Drosophila melanogaster: one gene and its partners. The protein of the gene in region 1 interacts with the protein of each later gene in a pairwise test. Each region holds a gene or a part of one and is shown in the gene's direction. Other genes may lie near its edges. The genes, in order: mael, CG8159, ERp44 and koi.

The links.
Region 2: the proteins of mael (region 1) and CG8159 interact in a two-hybrid assay, tested with the Drosophila melanogaster proteins (one large-scale study listed by BioGRID).
Region 3: the proteins of mael (region 1) and ERp44 interact in a two-hybrid assay, tested with the Drosophila melanogaster proteins (one large-scale study listed by BioGRID).
Region 4: the proteins of mael (region 1) and koi interact in a two-hybrid assay, tested with the Drosophila melanogaster proteins (one large-scale study listed by BioGRID).

The regions. Positions count from the first base shown.
Region 1 is NT_037436.4:22,722,316-22,726,739, forward strand, and holds mael (maelstrom), read left to right. Parts: upstream 1-1,917; 5' UTR 1,918-2,250; coding exon 2,251-2,370; intron 2,371-2,415; coding exon 2,416-2,614; intron 2,615-2,670; coding exon 2,671-3,227; intron 3,228-3,289; coding exon 3,290-3,802; 3' UTR 3,803-3,919; downstream 3,920-4,424. Other genes in the region: CG14450 (uncharacterized protein), read right to left, coding at 4,229-4,424. UniProt on the Drosophila melanogaster protein: Involved both in the piRNA and miRNA metabolic processes. As a component of the meiotic nuage, plays a central role during oogenesis by repressing transposable elements and preventing their mobilization, which is essential for the germline integrity.
Region 2 is NT_033777.3:8,725,139-8,728,894, forward strand, and holds CG8159 (uncharacterized protein), read left to right. Parts: upstream 1-1,715; 5' UTR 1,716-1,789; coding exon 1,790-1,909; intron 1,910-1,971; coding exon 1,972-2,519; intron 2,520-2,587; coding exon 2,588-2,833; intron 2,834-2,892; coding exon 2,893-3,178; 3' UTR 3,179-3,232; downstream 3,233-3,756. Other genes in the region: ouib (ouija board), read left to right, coding at 346-465, 514-986, 1,050-1,395; ranshi, read right to left, coding at 3,314-3,428, 3,488-3,733.
Region 3 is NC_004354.4:16,293,328-16,299,676, reverse strand, and holds ERp44 (endoplasmic reticulum protein 44), read left to right. Parts: upstream 1-2,016; 5' UTR 2,017-2,035; intron 2,036-2,437; exon of another isoform or gene 2,438-2,594; intron 2,595-2,769; exon of another isoform or gene 2,770-2,886; coding exon of another isoform or gene 2,887-2,901; exon of another isoform or gene 2,902-3,006; intron 3,007-3,089; exon of another isoform or gene 3,090-3,192; 5' UTR 3,193-3,310; coding exon 3,311-3,367; intron 3,368-3,406; exon of another isoform or gene 3,407-3,545; coding exon 3,546-3,630; intron 3,631-4,362; coding exon 4,363-4,454; intron 4,455-4,558; coding exon 4,559-4,952; intron 4,953-5,022; coding exon 5,023-5,289; intron 5,290-5,363; coding exon 5,364-5,562; intron 5,563-5,636; coding exon 5,637-5,781; 3' UTR 5,782-5,824; downstream 5,825-6,349. Other genes in the region: CG3632 (uncharacterized protein), read right to left, coding at 1-137, 206-401, 467-657, 837-1,828, 1,893-2,016, 2,887-2,901.
Region 4 is NT_033778.4:6,809,189-6,817,032, forward strand, and holds the start of koi (klaroid), read left to right. Parts: upstream 1-1,830; 5' UTR 1,831-1,987; intron 1,988-2,599; exon of another isoform or gene 2,600-2,713; 5' UTR 2,714-2,740; coding exon 2,741-2,895; intron 2,896-3,343; exon of another isoform or gene 3,344-3,506; intron 3,507-3,592; coding exon 3,593-3,928; intron 3,929-3,984; coding exon 3,985-4,565; intron 4,566-4,848; coding exon of another isoform or gene 4,849-5,126; exon of another isoform or gene 5,127-5,624; intron 5,625-5,871; coding exon 5,872-7,371; intron 7,372-7,428; coding exon 7,429-7,541; intron 7,542-7,604; coding exon 7,605-7,817; 3' UTR 7,818-7,844. Other genes in the region: CG15237 (uncharacterized protein), read right to left, coding at 29-168, 236-323, 382-510; ubl (ubiquitin like), read right to left, coding at 904-947, 1,013-1,151, 1,211-1,249. UniProt on the Drosophila melanogaster protein: Component of the LINC (LInker of Nucleoskeleton and Cytoskeleton) complex involved in the connection between the nuclear lamina and the cytoskeleton. Is required to nuclear migration in eye and to anchor klar in the nuclear membrane.

The DNA.
Region 1 (4,424 bases):
TGCGTACTTGTGCTAGAAGACGATTTTCGGCCCGAAATAAATTTTCATTCAAGAAAATTTACATACATATTCTACATATTTGGAGTTTTTGGCAATTTTTTTGCAAAATTTCAACAGGGCACTGTGAGCAATACTTTTTAAAGCATTAACATTAATTTCATCAATATTTCAACTTATAAATAAAGTTGCTATCTAGAACTATAATTATTAGTTTTGTAATTTAAAACATAAATTTAACAAAATGAGAAAATACATATTTAAAAATATATTTTGTAAAAATAATACAAACATACATAGTTAAAAGTTAATATTTATAAAATAAATAAAAATATGCGACCTTTCTATTGTAAAATGTGCACAGATGCACTTGTCGGTTGTCACTGGATGCGTAAAAACAGCTGATGGCTGTAGAGTTCTCCGCCCTCTTGCTCCTAAACAAAAATTAAGAGCAGAATACTTTATATCCACCTTCTACTTCCTGAATTCTAGACATTTCTTACTGAGAGACAGGCGGCCCAAGAGATCTTAATCTTAATTGCTTGTACCTTTTGAAAGAATCTAGTATAACTTTTACTGGACGAATTCTAGACTATTAAAAATGTGATGATATATCAACACATTTATTAAAAGTGCGATCGTGACAGTTTTATGCGGCTTGTGAGCGCTAGAGTGGGCTTGGCAAAATGGGTTAACAAACTTGCGCTGCATCTTTGTCTCTAAAATCTGTATGCTTAATCTTAACCTTCTACCTTTAATAGTTCCTGAGATCTCGGCGTTCATACGGACAGAAGGACACAGCCAGATCGACTCGGCTATTGATGCTGATCATGAATATATACATATAGTGACGTATTCGGGTGGTCCAAACCGGCCACTTCAATTAAAACAGTATTGCACTTAATTGATTTTCCATAATGTATCCCAGCTGCGCAGCATCCGTTTCTAATAAAGAATTCTTTGGCAGCGGCACTCAGCCGTTCTTGTAAACATCCTAAAACCTGACATAAGCCGATTTGACTGCTCTCTTTGAACCTTCTCCTTATCTTAAGAACCCAAGAGCGAGGCTCTCCCGAGATACAAATATTGTTCAAATAATGAGGGTTCTCTCAATTCAATTTGCATTTGATTTTTACTCTTAAAAAAACTAAAACGTTAAAACTATTTCTCCGATCATTTTTTATTTCTTAGCGTTGTCCTTAGTCAACTGACGGGGCATTTATTCGACTCAAATAAAAAATATAACAACTAATTTTACTATATATATGTATATATTTTACTGTATATCGGAAACGCTTCCTTCTGTCTTTTACATATGTACATTTCAACGAATCTAGTATACCCTTTTACTCTACGGTTAACGGGTATAATAAGTTCTTTCTAAATGATTATGCTTATCATTTTAACAACAACATTTTAACCAAAAACGGTGTGATGACCAAACCATTTTCATATTCAGCATGAATTTACCGATTCAGACAAATCGTTCATACATACAAACAATATTATTACTTTACCATTAAACAAACCATTTCCAAGAAAGAATTTTTCATAGACCTAAAGCACATCGACTTTGTGGGTGGATATACATACATATGTACAATTTTTCGACTCAACTGTTTACACTGTAGTTTTACGAAAGAGAATTTCGATTTAAAAAATTTTTAGTTTTCGATGGTCGACCATTTGATTTATAAATAAGCAGTATTATCTTTAATTAGGCTGCTTTTAACTGCAAGTGCAGTTTATTCATACGATTACAAAGCATGACGATAGATGATTATGCTATTAGGTTTGATTAAACCATTTTTATGAAATATAAATTATTATATTATAAATATAAATTAATTATAAATTTACAAACTCTTATTCCATTCCAGAATCGATAGTTCTGGAATGATACTAGTGCTCAGCAACGCCAAAACAGTCAATAATAGATATTTGAAGTGTCAGCGGAATCGACGTCTGACAAAACAACTGCTTCACTTCATTAGAATTGTGTGATATATTCCACAGACCAGATCATTGGAAGAGAAGTCAATCGTGCGTGAGAGAAGCCAGAAGAGAAGCCACCCGCGACATTCCGAAGTAACCATTTCTGTAGGGTCAGACGTACATACAAACAACATTCATATAAATTGCTCGTGCTGTTCATTGGTTACCGCCTTTAGTCGCTACCTCGCTCGCACACGCGCTCAACACCTACCCTTACCCGTCAAAAATACCGACCTTCTTCTTGCCACGCCCGTAAAGATGGCTCCTAAGAAGCATAGTGGGTTTATGATGTTCGTAAACGAGTGGAGAAACCGGAACGCCGAGGGCCGACGCATGACGCTGGCGCAGGCTGTTTCCCACTGCGGCACCATATGGGAGGTAAGTTTTGGTCGATGCTGCGGATCTACCCTGTAATAAATGAAGCCTTTTCAGAAAATGAACACCCAGCAGCGTGGTCCGTACAACTCAGGCGGCAAGGACGCAAATGTGGCGCAACGCGCCAAAAGGGAAAGTTCCAACGGCCACGGCCAGGTGGACAAGGCCCAAAGGGAGGCCACCGAGAGCTTGATGGACATGAAACGTACCATCGAGCGCCTCGTGCTAAACGCCAAGATGTCCCATGGTAAGTCACACATTTCGAAGACATTTGGATTCGACTAACTCCAATCGCTGCCGCAGATCTGGAGAATGCCAAGTTTGTCTTCGTTGCCTTCAACTACTTCACTAAAGCCTTGACCACCGACGTCTATGTGCCCGCCGAGTTTGCGGCATGCGAATATTCGTTGAAGGAGGGAATCCGATCCATCTACAGCACCATGATTGACCCCGGTCAGATCATTTTTGGGCAAGGTAGCGATGCCCTGCTTCACTCTTCAACCACTCACGACCTGCCGCTGCCGCCCAACGCGCTGGGGGAGAAGAACATGACCAAGCTGTACCGCAACATTGTTGACTACTTATCCAAATGCCAGGGAAAAGGCAAGACCCTAGTAGTCTTTACACCCGCCGAAAATATTACCATGGTGAAGTCATGCTTCCGCTATTTGGAGTGCGATGATGACTTCAGGGACGGGGGCGAAAAAATCCAGGTGTTTGATATCCAGTACTTGCTATTCATATTGAAGAAGGAGGTCATGAATGTCGCTGATTTGAATGACGAGAAAATCAACAAATTCGCGACGGATGCTTTTTTTAAGAAAGACTTTTTCGAGTTTACCGCAGGGATTGCGTGTCAGGTAAGATTCTGTTCCCAATTCTGATAACCCCTAGTTGACTTCCTTCCTGATTACTTTTGCAGTACCACGAGGATAATGATCGAACCAAGTACTGTACCCAGAGTATGGTGACTAGATGGGCGTATACCTTCACTGATTTTATGTGCGGAGACCTGGCCATAACCGTCCAACCCGGAAAGCACATACCTGCCCAAACAAAACCCAACTACCTTATCATAAGCTCGTACGCCTCCTCACTCGACCACGAGTCCTCCTTCGACTCTTTTTATTCGCTTCCCGGATCTGGGGTCAAGAAGGAAAGCCAACCCGAAGCTTGTTCGCTTTCTAGCAGTCGACTTTCCGTCGCATCAAGCTCCTACAAGCCCATAGACCACACTTCCTTTGCCGCAAATTTAAACGAAGTTTCTGAATTCCCCAGCCTCGGCATGCGTAATTCTAGTAAGCATCACGGTATCGCCGCTAGTGCTCAGCGGGAATGGAACGCTAGGAACTTACCGACGCACTCGCGTTTAATTCGGAAGGTTTCAGACAACGACTTCTCCGTAAACGGCGCTGATGGGAAACTTAAAAAATAAGCCACTTTGGTCTATCAATTGGACTAAGAAACAATGATTCCTTATAGATAATTTTCTTATCGCATTAAACTGTACAAATACTATTACTTGTATTTAAAAATAAATTCGTTCAAACGGACAGGGCCAGCATCAAGTATTTATTTATTTTAGTTCTGCTAAATAAATATTTTTAAGACCTAATATGTGGGCAGTAATGAAAGAAAGACATGATATTTTTGATGGCGACAAATTCTAATTAGCTAAGTGGGGCCAAGCTCAAAATAATCTATGTTTATGGTATTCCATGGAAATGCAGTTGTGCCATTAGAAACTGCTCCTATTAAAACCCCTGTTAAATATTGTGCATAAAATTGTTCAACGGGTCATTATAATACAAAGTGCAAAGGCCAAAAAGAGTCGAGTTCATATTCTTACACTTGTAGCTTTTTAAGTGGCTCGACTTGGAGAGGAGTTTTTAGAGTTGCGAGATACAGATGCAATGCTTTGCGGATCTTGCTGAAGCACGAGACGAGTAAAGGCTAAGCTGAGGAGAAGTGCCTGGCCTAGAAGCTCGCGCTGGTAGCGCTCTTGTTGTGAGAATTCGAGGCGTAGGTCAGCGGGAAAGTCGATCTGTTTGTGCAGC
Region 2 (3,756 bases), on another chromosome or scaffold:
CGTGGATTATTTCGATTTACCGAAACAGAAATATGAAGCTATATGTTTTGTTTTCAAAAATTGATCCTGCGCATTATTAGCATGCAGGTCGTACTTATTTCAAGCACCCATGAAATGGTTCAGCTTAACGATTTGACCAATATTATTTACACCTATTATTAAGTTTTAATATTATAAGCAGTATCTGTTTTATCAGACTGCTCCAGTTGTTAACAGATCAATAGCTATTTAAATAAAGATTTTGACTTTCAAAAATCCCCGCCTTGAATGAATAATTTATCTGGTTTGCCTCAAAATGTAATCACCATACAATTGCCTTTCCATCAGTCGAGTTTAGTGATCGAGATGCTGAACATCGTGTGTAGAGTCTGCGGAAGGCAGAAAATCTGTGAGAAGAGCCTGAATCTCTTCGATTTGGTCAACCGAAAATATCTAAAGCACTTGCACATGATAAGCGGACTAAGAGTGAGTTAAAAGACGTTTTAAAATTGAGATAAATAATATCAGCACCAGTTGGTGGATTTGGACGATGTTCCTGGTTTCATGTGCCTTTGCTGTCAGGCGGAACTCAGATCGGCATTGGCATTCCGGAAGCTTTGCATTAAGACCCAAACTAAATGGCTAACCATCGAGGACGACTCTTCGTCGGGTGATGAAGATACCAATGACAATTCGGAACTGGAATCGGAAAAATGCGCATTCAGCGATTTTGGGAAAAAGAAAGAAGGCGAGTTGGTTGAAGAAACTTTTCAGGTACTGATTGAAGAGGAGCCCATGGACAAAACTCTGAATAGAGATGCGAAAGCGCAGCTGAGGGAAGATGGAATAGATGAGAAGTGTGTACCTTCACAAAAGATTATCAAAGTATCAACCAAACTGGATGATCAGATTTACATATGCGAGCTGTGCGGGACTCATGCCACATCGAAACCCACTTTCCAGCGCCACATGAGAAAACACAGAGGCGAACGACCATTTGGCTGCAAGTAAACCTCGCTCACAGATTACAACTGTAGGTTCGGTATGCTGATTCCATATTCTCTTTTTAGGGATTGTGATGCCAGGTTTCTCTCTGCTGGCGAACTACGTGCCCACCACCGGGTACATACTGGGGAGCAACCGTTTGCCTGTCGCTTCTGCGAAAAGCGGTATGTCAGCTACATGGGCCGGCTGATCCACGAGCGGACTCACACCAACGATCGACCCTATGTGTGCGAAGAGTGTGGCAAGAAGTTCACCACTGCCTACGTCCTAAAGAACCACATGGTCATCCACACGGGCGAGAGGAATTTCCGATGCGATATTTGCGATCGCTCCTTCCAGAGAAAGGCGCACCTGGTAACGCACACCAGATCCATGATGCACCTCCAAAATGTCAAGAAGCAGAAGTCATGAAGGATTAAATAGCTCAAGCTATGAAATAATAAGATTTACATGCTCCTTGAGATAAAAAGATACCCAAAAGGGGACTATCTTATTTTTATCTTATCGTATTTTTATGAATTTAAGTTGTATACTCAATATTTGCACCACACCTGTTTCTCAAAATGAAATAAATGCTAATGCTTTTAAGTGTGTAGGACACAGAAAACAAAAAATTTGTATAGATTGTTTGATTTTAATTAGTAGCAGCCGTTACGATTTAGTGGTTTTATAAGTCGCCAGTGCTGGACAACGTCTCAGGTGGAAAAGCTAGTGCGCTGCTTCGTGGCAAATGGCAAATCAGTTTTGGGTGGCTGTCTTGTTTACAATTGGAAATTTACTAATTAGAATCGAGTAAGCTGGTAAAATGCTGCAAAATGTGTGCCGCGTGTGTGCCAGCAGCACGGACAACTCGAAATCGTTGAAACTATTTAACAGCGGCGCCTGCAAAGTGCTGCAACAAATCAATTTGCTCACCGGTGTTCTGGTAAGCCTACCCTACGAAACACATTAATTCCTTCAATTAAAATGTTGTATCTTATTTGGCAGCTGCAATGCGAACCCGGTTTACCCGACTGGATGTGCGAGACCTGCCAGACGGATTTGAAAAGCGCCATATCCTTTCGTGATCGCTGCTTGAGGAGTCAGAAGATCTTTGAAGAGTCGCTGGTCAGGAATGAAGAGGACACATTCCGCTCCTCAGTTCGTCGCAGTGCCCGTTCCCAAAGACAGCGGCATGAAGACACCGCTCCAAAGACGCCAGCAAGTCCGCTGGAGGTAATGATTAAGCTGGAGAGCCTGAGCAATGGCGATGAGGAGGATGATGGCATCGATCACCTGGACTCCTGCAACGAAGCAGACATGGAGCTGGCCATTAAAGCGATGTCCAGCTCTACCGAAGATGATGGAACTACCTCACCGGTCAGATTGAAAAGAACCCGACGTCGGGGACTTAAGAAAGGCGGGAAAGGTGAAAATCGCACAAAGGTTACGCTTCCAGTTTTCTTTTGCGATCAGTGCGGCAACAATATTACAGGGAAGTCCTCCTTCGACCGTCACCTACGCAAACACAGCGGAATTAGGCCCTTTCAGTGCGAGTAAGAAAAGCTTTAGCTCGTCAATTGTACAATCTGATAGTTAACTGTGTAACATTGCTCTCATGTAGACTCTGCCCCGCCCGCTTCCTGTCCTCCGGTGAGCTGAAAGGACACCAAGTGATGCACACTGGAGATCGCAAGTTCCAGTGTCGTTACTGTGACCGCACCTACGTCAACTACAGTGGTCGCCTGCGTCACGAGCGGACCCACACAAATGATCGACCCTTTATTTGTGCGCAGTGCGGCAAGAGCTTTACCAATTCCTACATCCTCAAGAACCACATGCTTATCCACACGGGCGAGCGCCTGTTCAGGCTAGTAAACTATGATAAATAGTGCTTAAGTTAATGATCACCTAGCCGATCCTTTGCAGATGTGAGCTGTGCCATCGATCCTTTGCGCGACCCACCCACTTGAAGACTCACTTCCGCTCTAACACTCATAAGCACAACTTGGAGAAATCGATGGCAGACGCGGGTGGAGTTCAGCTGTCACCATCCCAGTCAGCGGATCAGGTCAAATTCGTGACGGAAAAGGAGCCAGAAGCAGAGGCGGATGCCTTTACGATAGAAGTGCCTTTGCCCGCGGAGCAGGAGCAGGATGAGTCTTTGGGCCTGGCTGCTCTGGAAACATCCACTCTAATGTATAGTACAAACTAGACCTTAATGAGTCCATCTCAACCTTTAAAGCCAAATATAGTTCACAATTTGATTATCCGTTTTGATTTTTTTTGTAAAAATTCCTATTTTGGTAATGCAACCGTTTTCAACTAAGAGCTTCTTAAGTGATACCTTTTAGGGTTTATCAAAGATTGTGTCTGCTTTCTGCATGTTTCGTCTGTGAGCATTTGAACGATAATGGGTAGTAAGGTGTGTGTAGCGACTGAATAACTTATCGCAGAGGTCGCACCTGCAAATAGAATAGATTATTATTATTACACTTAAGTACTATTTCGAGTACCCGCTTACCTAAAAGCCTTCTCCCCGGTATGCACGAGCATGTGGTTCTTAAGAATATAGGATGTTGTGAAGGCATTGTTACACTCCTTGCAGACAAAAGGTCGTTCGTTAGTGTGAGTCCGCTCGTGCTTCAACCGAGTGCTGTAGTCAGAAAAGCTGCGGGAACAGTGTCTGCACTTGAAGGGCTTTTCCCCGGTATGCTTGCGAATGTGACGCTTAAGTTCCGCCGGCGTGCAGAAGCGATCCTCACAGAATCTTAAATGAAGCGGATTAGTTAG
Region 3 (6,349 bases), on another chromosome or scaffold:
TGATGCACAAGATCAAGCCACTGCAGAAAAACTGGACATCGCTCGTTAACTTCATCGGAATTGGGACCATTTCCAGAGCGATCGGCGAATTTGTGTCCAAAGTTCAGCCATTCACGCTCGACAAGAACGCGGAACCCCTGCAAATACAAGCAAGTAGGTAGAGTATTAGTCCATAGAACACAAATGTTGATGTATATCAACGTACCTCAACCGTTCTGTAGTAGGGATCCAAACATAATTGCGCCGTGGCCACGATCTGTGGAGTGCGATCCCAACCGTCTGAGCAATGTACAAGGACGGGTCGTCCATTCTTCTCGATGGTGTGCACAACGGTCATGGTGGCTCCCAGCAGACCCGACAGGTGCTGCATCCACATGGTCTTTTCCAGTTGTCCGTACCAGCTGCAAGAATATGATTCCATTACATAAATATATATATATCTTTAATAATCAGCTAGTAAACTTACTTTGGATCATCGGGGGATGACGCGCATAGCTGTCGGACAGCGTGGAAACTCTTTCGAATGGCGTGGATGTTGCCCAAGTTCATAAACTCAATCTCTGCACAGGGATAGTACTCGATGCACTCACAGCCGCCACCTCTGGCACGATTTGTAACTGCGGAGGTGTAGCTGCGAGCATCCACAATGAGGATTTTCTGAAAGCAAATACAATTTAAGAGCAATGATCAAATTATTTCATTAGCACTTGGCGGTTTTGACATCATTTTACTGCTCCGTGTTAAGTAATTTATGATAATTATTCATGAATGTTTTCTTATATGGTAACTGAAACCTTCATTTCAAGAATACCCGGCTATTTTGGTAATAAACTTACCTTGATTTCATCCAGCGTGAGTTCCTCATGCGAGGAATCGTCCAGAGATGGTGAACTCTTGCCGGATAAGCCCGACTGGCCGTTGGTCTCCTTGGAGCCCTTTGTTGGTTGCGCCTTTGCATTGGCGCAGGTGGAATGCCTGGCGTGCTCGCCCCTGTCAAAGGCACAGGCATCGGCGAGTGCCTTGAGTAGCTGCTCGTCCCTTGTGTTGCGCCAGCCGAGCCAACCGACCTCCGGCTGGCTGCATCGGGCCAAGATGGCACCCGACTTTTGGTGCCGCCAGACGACAGCCGGCAGCCTTCGTGATCCCCGGAAGTTGGCCACGTTGTGGAGCATCTCATCGGTGATACAGCAGGGCACAAGCAATTTGGGTGGATACGAGGGACAGAGCTTAAAATCGGCATTGGCCGTGGAGATGCGCCACGAGCCCTTCAGATCGAATCCCAAGCGGGCAACCTCGTTCTTAAAGTCGCTTTCATAGCGCACTGATCGTTGCAGGCGATTGCTCATGGCGGCTGAGATGGTCTCGCTGGCAGGATCGGGCAGAGGATTCGACGCTGTGACGTTGGCTGTTGGCTTTGCCAAGCCATTGTGTAGCGTTAGGCAACGATCCTTGGCAATCAGGCCGTTTCCGTTGGCCTGGGCGCTAACGATACCGCTTCCATTGCCACTTCCGAGCACATCGCAGGTCCAGGAGTAGAAGGGAAAGGCGAAGAGTGTCTCCAGTGACTCGGGAACCCCGATCATCAGATGGATCCGGCGCTGCCAGTCGGAGCACTGTTCCGCCGACGGAAAGGAGCAGCGCACAGTGCTGGCATCCTTACAATTGACAATCAGCTGGAACAGATCTCGCACCTGTACGGATTCGATTAATCCCAATGGAACGTAGGTCTCGTAGCCGGTTGACTGCTTGGAAAGGAATATCCGATAATTGGACAGGGCGAGGATACCATCATCCGTGCGCCCCAGGTACTTAATCGATTCGCCGGCCACTAGTGGTATATATACTATAGATTAGCATGTGTTATCGGTTACAGCATATGGGGGAACACCTACACTCTTGAAACGGGACGAACAGCTGGGAGTCTTCCTTCTCCATTTGTGACTTTGGATACGATTCGGCGGCACGGATAAAGCAAATCGATGGAGGCGGTGATCCATCGGACATTGTGTGAATCGGCTAAAAGAATACTTAACATGTAACGTATTCGAAATTACTTATTTGCTTATATTTAGGCAAGGCGATTTGGGTGTCATTGGAAATCCGGTTATCGCTTATAAGTGCATATATCTCTTATATCCACCATCCGAATACATAATTACGCACAACAGTGTGTGTGCGATGTTATTGGGACGATTCGATACGTATAGTATAGTGGCTCCCATAAATAAATAAATAATACTATGCACATATGTGCATGTGCATTAAGCAGTGCACAAACAAAGCCAAATAAATGTCACTGGGATGATAAATTGGGCACAATCAACACTTTTAGAACAAATCGAAGTTAATATTTGAGTTTTTGAGTGTCGTGGTGGCAATATAGATAATGCACTGCATATATATGCACGTATGGATGTACAATGTACAATGAACATACATTTATGTGAGCACACACAGTTGCAGTTCCACAAGGTGCGCAATATATAGTATGCACATATTTGTGTGTCGCTGCATTACATACGCACGCACATATATACCAATAGACTAGATTATCACGATTTCATAGCCAATAGGCGAAAAATGGCCGATTATCGTACTCAACGTATTCTAATGGCCGTGTATGTTGTCATAAACAAAGTAATTAAACATTTACGCATGTGTATGTTTGCATAAACTCATATGTATATTTGTCTATGTAGGTATGTTTGTGTTTCGATATTTCGGGGAGCAACAATAACACATTACAATCGTACATATGTATGCACACACATTTGGTTTTTGGATTCCACAAACCGTTCGCTCAGCAGACTTTTCGGGGTATTTAGCTCAAAACGTATTGCCGAATTGAAAACGCGCTTGGCTTCTAGATTTTCTCGCTCTATTTACCACCATAAAATCCATAAGCGTCAGCTATTATAAACAAAGATTTGCAAATGTTGTTGCACATACATATGTATGCATATGTATTCATTTAGACACTTTTTGTTTCATTTCCATTGAAATTGCTATCGTTGTTTGCTGCTATCGCTGTTATCGCTGCTGTTAGCGATGGCCAAGTCATGTGACTAAGCTATCGTTACTCGATTGCCGATGAGATGTGCATTCGAGACTAACCAACACTGGCCAGCCGATAAAATCAACCAAAAATTTGTAAAACTTAATAATTGTGCGTACGTTTGCATTCCATTCCAGCTGATGTGTAACTGAAATCAGAAAAAAAGAGAACCGATCGCTTGGACTCTCCGCCGGTGCACGCAATTCTACGCCCACTCCTCGCCAGCCGCATTCGCCATTCGGAAGCCGAACAAGAATGTTTGGAGCCAGAATCGGAATCGGAAAGCTTGGGCCGTGTGTGGCCCTAGTTGCGGTGAGTCGACGTGTTCCGTTCTGTCTGGTCATGTTGCTGGTCACTGGAGTGGCTCACCCGCTCGATCAGCGGGCGGGGAAACAGTGGGGAGGGGCCGGCCAGACAGCCCCGGCTTTTTTTTGGCTCCCCCTAACCAAATAACTAACTAACCAGAACTGACATCCTATGGAATTTACAGATTCTACAGCTACTCCAGTACACACAGCCGGCCGATGCCGCCGGAGCCGTGCCCATGACCAGTGATAATATCGATATGACCCTAGGTGAGATATGCCCATACCATAACCATCACAGTCATCCCCATGCCATTCCCGCTGCCAGCGTGAGCGGGAATCAATTAGCCGACTTGTCCCATTGACGTGTCACTAAACAAAATCACTGGCTCGCTCAATTCGGCACTGCCAACGTGGTAAAATAAGTTTTATGCGCTTTCGTAAAGGACAAGGTGTGGAATTTGGATAAAACTTAATTAGGGCGGTTTATATTTCATGCTGCATCGGTCCGATAGTCCGCCAAAATGGGCACTAGCCATTGGTCGGCAGTTCTTTGCTCAGAATGTCCGAAGTTTGGTCTTTGCATGAATAGGTCCTTTTTATACGGTGTGTCCTGTACACAATCCTGCGGTAATACTATATTGTTTTTTTAAAGTTATTTTTTTTTATTATCCAAACGTTAACTTTTACAGTAAAGCCTGGCCTTAGGCTTGCACCCCTTAAATTTTAACTTTCGGAAGTTATGGAATAGTAGGATGCTAGAAATTTCTTGACTTTAATATGTATATTCAGCGACAAATTTAAATATATTCCATAAAAATACATATGCATTTAAATTATTAATACATAAACCCGTAATTCAATATTGATATAAATATATTACCAAATATATGTTTTTAAAAGTTATTATATTTAGTATCTGAACGGAGTTGTATTCTACGCATCAACAATTTTACACACAATTTGGTGCCTACATTAAAAACACGTTTTGTTTTCTTGCAGCGTCTAATGAATTGGTTTTCCTTAATTTTTATGCGGAGTGGTGTCGGTTTAGTAATATTTTAGCACCTATATTCGCGGAAGCTGCAGATAAGGTGAGTCAAATGGATCGCCAGTAAAAGCTTACAAACAATGCGATACATTCATATACATTTTATATCGAATAAATACGTGGCATTCAATCGAATTTCTCTTACAGATTAAAGAGGAGTTTCCAGAGGCTGGAAAAGTGGTGCTAGGCAAGGTCGATTGCGACAAGGAAACGGCCATCGCGTCCCGTTTCCACATAAACAAGTATCCAACATTGAAAATTGTACGCAATGGGCAGCTCAGCAAGCGCGAATACCGAGGACAGCGTTCAGCCGAAGCGTTCCTCGAGTTCGTCAAGAAGCAGCTGGAGGATCCCATTCAGGAGTTCAAATCCCTGAAGGATCTGGAGAACCTGGACTCGAAGAAGCGCCTCATTCTGGGCTACTTCGATCGTAGGGACCAGCCAGAGTACGACATATTCCGCAAGGTGGCGACAAATCTGAAGGAAGACTGCCAGTTCCACGTGGGCTTCGGAGATGCCGCCCAGGCCATGCATCCACCAGGTGAATTCTATCAAACGCACCAAGTCATGCCAAGCCAATACTGAATGTCAGCTTTTTTGGTCTATTACAGGTACACCTATCATAGTATTTAGACCTGATGTAGCTCTGTCTCATGAGAACGATGAGACCTACACTGGCAGCCTACAAAATTTCGATGAGCTCAAAATTTGGGTCCAAGAGAAGTGTGTACCCCTGGTGCGGGAAATAACATTTGAGAATGCAGAGGAACTTACGGAGGAGGGTCTGCCGTTCCTAATTCTCTTCCACCACCCAACCGATCATAATTCTATCAAGGATTACAAGTCGATCATTGAGCGTCAATTGCTGGATGAGAAACGTAAGATGAATCATCGTGTTGTTTACTTTGCATATAAGCATTTGGTTTGACATTGTATTTTCGAAATTTTGCAGAGAACGTCAACTTTTTGACCGCCGATGGCAAGCGATTCGCGCATCCTCTGCACCATCTGGGTAAATCCGAGGATGACTTGCCCTTGATTGCCATCGACTCGTTCAAGCACATGTATCTGTTCCCCCACTTCAGTGACATGTACTCGCCGGGTAAGCTGAAGCAGTTCCTTCAGGATCTCTACAGTGGCAAGCTGCACAGGTAATTGTTATACAGCCGCCTTTGCTAACACCATGGGGCTCAATTACTAAACGGTCTGCTGCTTTGCTTTCCAGGGAATTTCATTACGGGCCGGATCCCTCAAATGATATTGAACCTGACCCACACACTGGCAAGGGTACATCGCCACCAGAGTCCAAATTCAAGGAACTTGGCCCATCCAAGCATCGCTACACCCTGCTAGAAAAAGATGAACTGTAATATAATAATAATAATGTATATTGAAAATAAAAGAAAATAATACAAAAATGTAATAATGAGCAACCTTCTCTGAAAGCAGATCAGCAGGTGAGCGGTTATCCATGCAAATAGCGGGCGCAGCAGCCTCAATTCTCTTCAATGCAATTCTAAAAATAAAAAGTCTGGATTTAACCACCTTTGTTATTGCAAAAAGAAACAGTTGCTGAATTATCCACAAATTGCACGCGTCACTTTTCAAGTTTTCCTCGTTTTGTTGTTAAAAATTACGCTGGAGATTTCGGCGAGGCGAACTTATTGAATTCTTTGGAATCCCCTTCTTAGTCAGCTAAGCTGGAAATGAATGATGTCAACTTCCGAATTCAAAGCAGTGATTTTGATTTTCTCTATATATATATATATATACACATATATATGAGCTATATATGTATACATATATATATGTTTATTCGTATGTACCATGTTACAGTTACAGTTGTTAAATTAGATTACATAATTATATAATATAATTCAGTCAAAACGAGCGATAACCGTGTGTGTGTTGGGATAAAAATCGGTTCAAATGAAGTCG
Region 4 (7,844 bases), on another chromosome or scaffold:
GATGGGCAATCAGGGCACTCCCATTCATTTAGGGGGCTGTGGGTGAGGTCTCGTCGTTCATCTGAATGTCGTCGGCGGAGTAAAAGTCCTGGGTTACCGGGATGACGCGGTCGTTGGTCTCGTCATCCTCCTCATCGTGACTGTCCGTGTCCTCGCTGTCGTCGTTGGCTGCACAAGGGCAATTGGACGTAAAAACGATAATGGTAATCCGAATGCAGTGTCCTGCCGTACTCACCATCCTCGTCGTCGGTCTCAATTCCGGGTATGGTGAGCATTTTGCCCAGCGGCTGCAGATCTGTGCCGGCCGTCTTAAGGGACTCTCGCTGTACGGTTTAAGTTTATAACAATTTATACAGAAAGCGGTGTCTGGAGAGAACTCACCCAGTTGCTCCTTTCATCCTCATAACGCCGCGTCTGCGATTCTTCGTTTACGGAGGCAGGAGCCATGTCCAACCAGTAGCGATTGGCCACGGAGACTTTGAGCGTGGGAAAGAATGGAATCATTGACATTTTCGACGGAATCTTGAATGCGCTGTTTTCAATATTTGTTGTTCTTTCTCTGGAAGCCTTTGATGCGATCTGGCAACGCCGCAACATACGCTGTAAATAATACCAATTTTACAGGGGCGTAGTCGTAGGGGCGCATTAAACGCAAATTACAATATTAATTGTAATTGTAATTCATCAATCTAACTATGTATTTTGTTATTGTCAAGGGAAGTCCGATAACCAAGGGCTTAATACAGCTTACTCAAAAATATATATCTTCACTATTACAAATTGACCTTAAGAATCAGAACATAACCAAAACGAATAATATATATTATTCAAAATCTTTTTATTTATTAAAGAAGCTATAAAAATTGGACAAACTAGACACAGGAACGGTATTCCCTTGCAGTTTTATTGGTAGTAAAGTTCCAGATTCATGCCATCGTGAATTTCATCTAAGAAAGCGAAAAAGAAATGCGGGTAAAGCAAGGCGTTACAAGGACACTAAACAAGGGCTTACAGTCAGATAGGCGAATCGGGTCCTTGAAGATTGTGTACCACTTCTTCAGGACAATCTTCTCGTGCTTTGTGCCCGTTTGTGCCGCGATTAGTTTCTTGAGGTCCCCAATCGTGTCGTCCGGGTTGCACTTGACGCGCACCTGTGGGTTAATCGTTGGTTAACGATGCTTGCAGTTGCCTTGGGTACTTAGCTGCTTACCTTCTTGCCAAGACGATCGTTACACGTTATTTCTATCATATTTTATGGCTTTGCTAGACAAATCACAACAATAAATTCTTGATTTGTTGTGGTATTATTGCTTAGGGTTGTCAAATACCCTTTACCGAATACCGAGTGGTTTGAGGGATCGCTAATTGTCCGCAATGCTATCGATATTTTATTTAATTTTAAATATGTTTAAATAACAATCATATAGAAAGTCGAAGTTAAAGATATCAGAAGTCTGAAAGTATACTTAGAAAGCTCAATTGCTTGTCATGACGCAAATCTATCACATCCTTGTAAAACGATAATATTTGTTAACAAATTTATATTTAAATTTCAGTCTTCTTCTTAGTTATCAAGCCAGAAGTCGAATGTTTCGGCGTTAATAGAAAAATAATGTATGTTTGCATATTTGCACACCTCATTCAAATTATTTTTCTTTGTTGAACAAAAGATAAAAGTGTAAAAATTAAATTTTTTATTCTTGACCCATTATTTCTCTTGGTTAATGAAAACAAATTCCGTTTCTCAACGTTCCCTTTAATAATCCATGTGAACAATCGATAGGCGGCGAAACATCGATGATTGCTAGAATAATCGATGTGTCTTCCCCGTTCATTCGAATTTTTTCGCCGCTCGGAATAGACGTGATTTTGCCGTCGTGACGGTGGAGGCTATTTTTAAAACGGTCGCGGCGCTTGCAAACAAAATTCATATCCAGCTATTCAACGGAGGAATTCATTAGTACGGCAGTACAAGAAATATTACTAAGTATGTCACATATTTGCGGGCAAACTGCCGAAAGCACTGTGCGGAGTTTTTGTTTGTGTGCGTGCGTGCCTCATTTTTACATTCACGTACATACATATGTACATATATGTACGCTATGACGCAGCTGTGGAAAACTTGTTTGGGTTTCCATTTCACCGAATCACGGAATCAACGAATATTTGCGCCTGTGCTGCGAACTCATTTTGGGCAGTAAGCCATTGTATTGATTATCGCGCGTTGTTTGTGGATGGCGTGGTCCGCCGGAGCACCCTGTAGCGTCTACATCCCTACCCCGCTCCCTGGAGTCCGATATCTGTGCGCGAAAGGCCGGGCGGGCGTCGTTTTCGGCTATGTGGCCCAACACCAATGGATCCCCACGGTCACTGGCAGCAATTCGCGATCCGAAATGCTCCGCCCTATTTTTAGACGCGGTCTTTGCGGCCTGCCTACTTACCTACCTCCCCAATGCATTCTAATTAAAAACCGGGCACTGCGCTCATTTCCACACGCATTGCATTGCATAATGCGGCATTAATGTGGCGGGGAAAGCTCGCTTCGGAAAGCACTCGAGCATTGAAGTGAAGAGACCGAATGTTTTCCAGCTGCCCAATTGTAAACAACCCACGCCTAGCACGCACACACACGCACACGCACACACACACAGACTGGTTTTAATGTTTACTCCAAATAAATCGTTGCCCATGTTAATTATTTGTGTCTTCGCAGGGCCCGAGCACTGGAGGGAATCTAATCATGAGCGAAAATACATACCAGATAGAAACGCGTCGGCGGTCGCGTTCCAAGACCCCCTTCCTGAGATCGAGCTGCGACCATGAGAACTGTGAGCACGCCGGAGAGGAGGGGCATGTGCACCACCTCAAAAGGAAATCGGCGGCCCCCAATGTGCAGTAAGTATCTGGGATACTCCCGAAATAGGCCTACGGACGAAGCCCTTTATCGCGAACCCATAACATTATTTTTAGCCCTTATAAGTAGTAAAATTGTAAGCATACAATATGTTTACGGAGTTCGAGTCAATTTCATTTTGAGAATTAGGAGAATTCAGTTTAAACTCTATAATTATTTCCTATTTGGTCCTGAGTCACCTTTTTCTATACTGACCATTGGTTTCAGTAAGCAAGTTGGACTGTAGTAAGACACATCCATAGCGACTGTATGTTTGTATGCCGTGTGCTGCCGCCATGACGTCACCTTTTTGTTATTCACGCTCGCCGCGAATTTGAATTTCGAAGCGGGTAGAAAACGAAGGCAAAGCCGCATACAGGGTGCAGCATCTGGTCGAGCTTCGTTAGTTTTTGGCGCCTATTTCGAGAGCGCCTGGTCGGTCTGATGATCAGTCTTCAAGACTCGATGACGACATTCGGAGTCCAACGTCGGCCGTCAGAAATCGTTTTCACGTTTTAGCCTCTAAATCGAGCATGCTGGGGTGGGCTAACAGTCGTTTGCGCTGAAGGCCAGCGGCGGTTATAAGCATATTTTTGTGTTTTTGTTTTGATACGTTGTACTCGTCGTTTCAAACGATTCCGAGCACGTTATCACGGACTTACTGAAATATTTTTCCCAAATCTTACCTCTTCTCTGCAGAACGATAATAGAGGAGCATATAGTGGAGTCGAGTATCAGTAAGAAAACCCGGGCAAAAGCGTTCGCCCAGCTGACCTCGGACTATTCGAGCGACGACATGACTCCGGATGCCAAACGCAAACAGAACTCGATCACGGCCACAGTCACGTCGATTCTCACCAAGCGATCCGGCGGCGCCACATCGACACCGCGGAACAGAAGCCAGCTGGAGACCACACAAAACACGCTGAATTCCGCCCAGGAAAAGCTAAACCAATCGAACGGTAACCTCAGCTCGGGAAATGTCAGCGATTATCTGGCCTACATCGAGTACAGGGATGCTGGTGAATACTGGAAGTGAGTGAATCATTTCTACACATTTTAAACAGTATACTAATGATGCTATTTTGCAGCAAAACTCCCAAGACGGACTATACCTACTCAGAACTGTCCCCTCACCGACGCCAGTTGGCGCCAGGAATTGTGGCCATGCCCAATATGTCCAGAAAGAGCCTAGAGAACCATAACGATCGAGTCAACTACATGGTCCAGCAGAACCCTGCGCAAGAGGAGTTCATCCGCCGCCGCTACCAGTCCAAGTATACCCAGCAGGTTAACTATGACTCCGCAGATGAACTGGACGCCACATTTGGGCAGCAAAAGCAGAGCTGGTGGCTTATCCGCCTCATCCAACTGGTTGTTAGCAGCATTACCACCGTGTGGAGTCGGGTGACCAATCTCTCGGCCACGGAGACGACTGCCTATCAAAACTACCACGCTAAGCGCCAGCAGAGTCAACAAGTTGGACTTTGGTGGAAAATAGTACAGACCATCGGAGGAGGACTTGCAAGTTTGCTGCGCTACCTGTATGTTTTCATCGGATCGGTGCTGAGTTTGGACACGTGGTTGCTGCGATCCTCGGATGCGGAAAACAAGTCGAAAAAGCGCTTCCTCATATTTCTGCTGATTTTGTTGCCCTTGCTGCTGCTGTCGGGTGAGTAGGATTTAAAGCACCGTCCGATTTTTGATGTAAAGTAAAATATGTTAGAGCGTGTGCCGTGACCTTGTACCGGTTCGAGAATTCATACTACATGCATATAGATCACCTCCAGTCGTTGTATTTATAAACTCGTCTGGTCGTTGGCAGTCGCGTGACGCCATCGATAATTTGTTAGTAAAATCCCGCGGATCAGATTTAAGTGGCCATGTGATGACATATTTTATTTTCCATTCACCGTCTGCCAAGGTTAAACGCCTAATTTGCTTTGCCTTTGCAGGTCTGTTCTATTACATACACCCCAATGAAACTTTCCCACCCAAATCCCTGTCCGAATACACATTCACCCTACCTGAGTTGCCCAAAATCGATGTGAAAGACTACCTGAACCAGGAGCAGTTCGAATCGCTACGCTCTCAGGCCGCCGAGCATGCGGTCCGCGTTCGCGATTGGGCCGACGACTACGTTTTGTACTTGAGAACCATCGGTCAGAACGTGGTCAACAAGGGTCGTCAGTTATTTCAGGGCGATGATAAAGTCTATTATGAGCGTGTGTAGGGAACATCTGCAATGGGCAGGCTACAGCTACCAGATTTAGTGATCTGGTTGGGTGCAACGCCCCTTGCACTTAGACAAATATGAGAAACTTTCTTTATGAACAATATGAGTACAAAATAAAGCATTTGATCCGTTTTTTGTCCGTCTGCTTGACCCGCAGTTTTGCGCACTTACTTTATAGTTTTTCGTCCCGTCATTTACCCACTTCATAGGCAAACCCACCTCTCATACCCCACCATACTAACCGACACAATTCCCAACAAAATGCAACATCACAGGCTGATGGGAGAAGGATAGAGCTCGCCGCTGTTCAAATTGTAAAACTTTCGTAATCGTTAACTTCATTCTTGTCCAACAATTAGGGCCGTTATCCGTCTGGGTTAGTGCCCTAACTAAATCTTACTTGTTGTTAAACAACGTTTAATTGTAATTTGTGCACTGTTTGCTTTGTAATAGTCTATACAAAAATAAATCGCAAACAATTTCATATGAAACATCAAGTACAAAGAAGAGTTGTTTGTTTTATTTGCCATTTGTTGGAAGTTCGCTAAATGGTAAGTAAGATGTAAACAAAGCAATATTAGTTGGCCAGAATCGAACTCTATCCTTCTGCATTTGTGTTGGAATAACCCCAAAAACGAGTTCCCTGTTACCTCAGTCCGGTTGATAATTGAAGTTGGTAGGGACTGTAAATGTAGAAGGATTGCCAACTAATAGTGCTATGTTTAATTTTCTCCTTCCCCAGGATGGTTGCTCTTGCAGGAGGATCAACGTAGTGCTTACGTTCAGCGTGCGGAAGCACTGTTGCCGCTGCCACTATCTATTTTCGGCTCCCTACGTAGTCGATTTTCAAATGCTGGAGCCACCTTGAAAAGTTGGATGGAAGTGCCCACCGTCAGGAGTCCCCAGCGGGAAGCCGAGGCCATTAAGGTAAACATGGCCAGCATTGAACAGAACATCCAGAAAGCCTTGACTGCCGAGGAATACGAAAATATCTTAAACCATGTAAACAGCTACGTGCAGCAGTTGGTCGAGCTGAAAATGCAGCAGCATTCCAAGGAGCTCGCACCGCAACAGATTGAACTCTTTGTTAAGCTGATGAAGGAAAACCTCAAGCAGATTATGTACAAAACGGAGCTAAGCGAAAAGGATTTGTCTGATCTGGCCATAAAACTGAAACTGGAGCTGCAAAGCTCAGGCGGTTGGCAAGATGGAGCGAAACTATCACAAGCTAACTTAGAGGAGATAACCAAGCTAATTAAAGCAGAGGTTCACCTCCACGAATCGCACTACACCATTCAATTGGACAGGATAGACTTTGCATCCCTGCTGGAGCGTATTCTTGCTGCGCCAGCATTGGCAGACTTTGTAGATGCTCGAATAAGTCTTCGGGTGGGAGAGCTCGAGCCAAAGGAGAGTTCCGGTTCCTCAGATGCAGAAGTCCAAATTGAGCGTCTGAACAGGGAAATCGCCTTCATTAAGTTGGCTCTCTCTGACAAGCAAGCGGAGAACGCCGATCTGCACCAATCAATCAGCAATCTGAAGCTCGGCCAAGAGGATTTGCTGGAACGCATACAGCAGCACGAACTTTCCCAGGATAGGCGCTTCCACGGGTTGCTGGCTGAAATAGAAAACAAACTGTCTGCGCTTAACGACTCGCAGTTTGCTCTTCTCAACAAGCAGATCAAGCTATCCCTTGTCGAAATTCTGGGCTTTAAGCAATCCACCGCTGGCGGTTCCGCTGGCCAATTGGATGACTTCGATCTGCAGACCTGGGTACGCAGCATGTTTGTGGCCAAGGACTACCTGGAGCAGCAGCTGCTAGAGCTGAACAAGCGCACCAATAACAACATTCGCGACGAGATTGAGCGTTCGAGCATCCTGCTGATGAGCGACATTAGCCAACGACTCAAACGGGAGATTCTTCTGGTTGTGGAGGCCAAGCATAACGAGAGCACCAAAGCGTTGAAGGGCCATATCCGCGAAGAGGAGGTGCGCCAGATAGTCAAGACGGTGCTAGCTATTTACGATGCCGACAAGACGGGCCTGGTGGACTTCGCCCTGGAGTCGGCGGGCGGCCAAATCCTTTCCACGCGTTGCACTGAGAGCTACCAGACAAAGTCAGCCCAGATATCGGTGTTTGGAATTCCACTCTGGTATCCCACCAACACGCCGCGGGTCGCCATTTCACCCAATGTGCAGCCAGGGGAATGCTGGGCATTCCAAGGGTTTCCCGGATTTCTAGGCAAGTCGCGGGTAAATAGTAATTGCTAAAACAGTCCTTATAGTTTTCTTCCCACAGTGCTAAAGCTCAACTCGTTGGTGTACGTCACTGGATTCACCCTAGAGCACATACCGAAGAGTCTATCCCCCACAGGAAGAATAGAATCAGCTCCTCGCAACTTCACTGTCTGGGTAAGTTTGACTAAGGGTGAAAGGAAGTGGTGCATTTCTAATACGACTTATCCATCAACTCAGGGCTTGGAGCAGGAGAAGGACCAGGAACCCGTATTGTTCGGCGATTACCAGTTTGAGGACAATGGTGCTTCCCTCCAGTACTTTGCCGTTCAAAACCTGGACATCAAACGGCCGTACGAGATCGTCGAACTGCGGATCGAGACGAACCATGGCCATCCCACCTATACATGCCTCTACCGGTTTCGCGTGCACGGCAAGCCGCCGGCCACATAAATCTGTTCAAATCTCTTCTAGTGACCT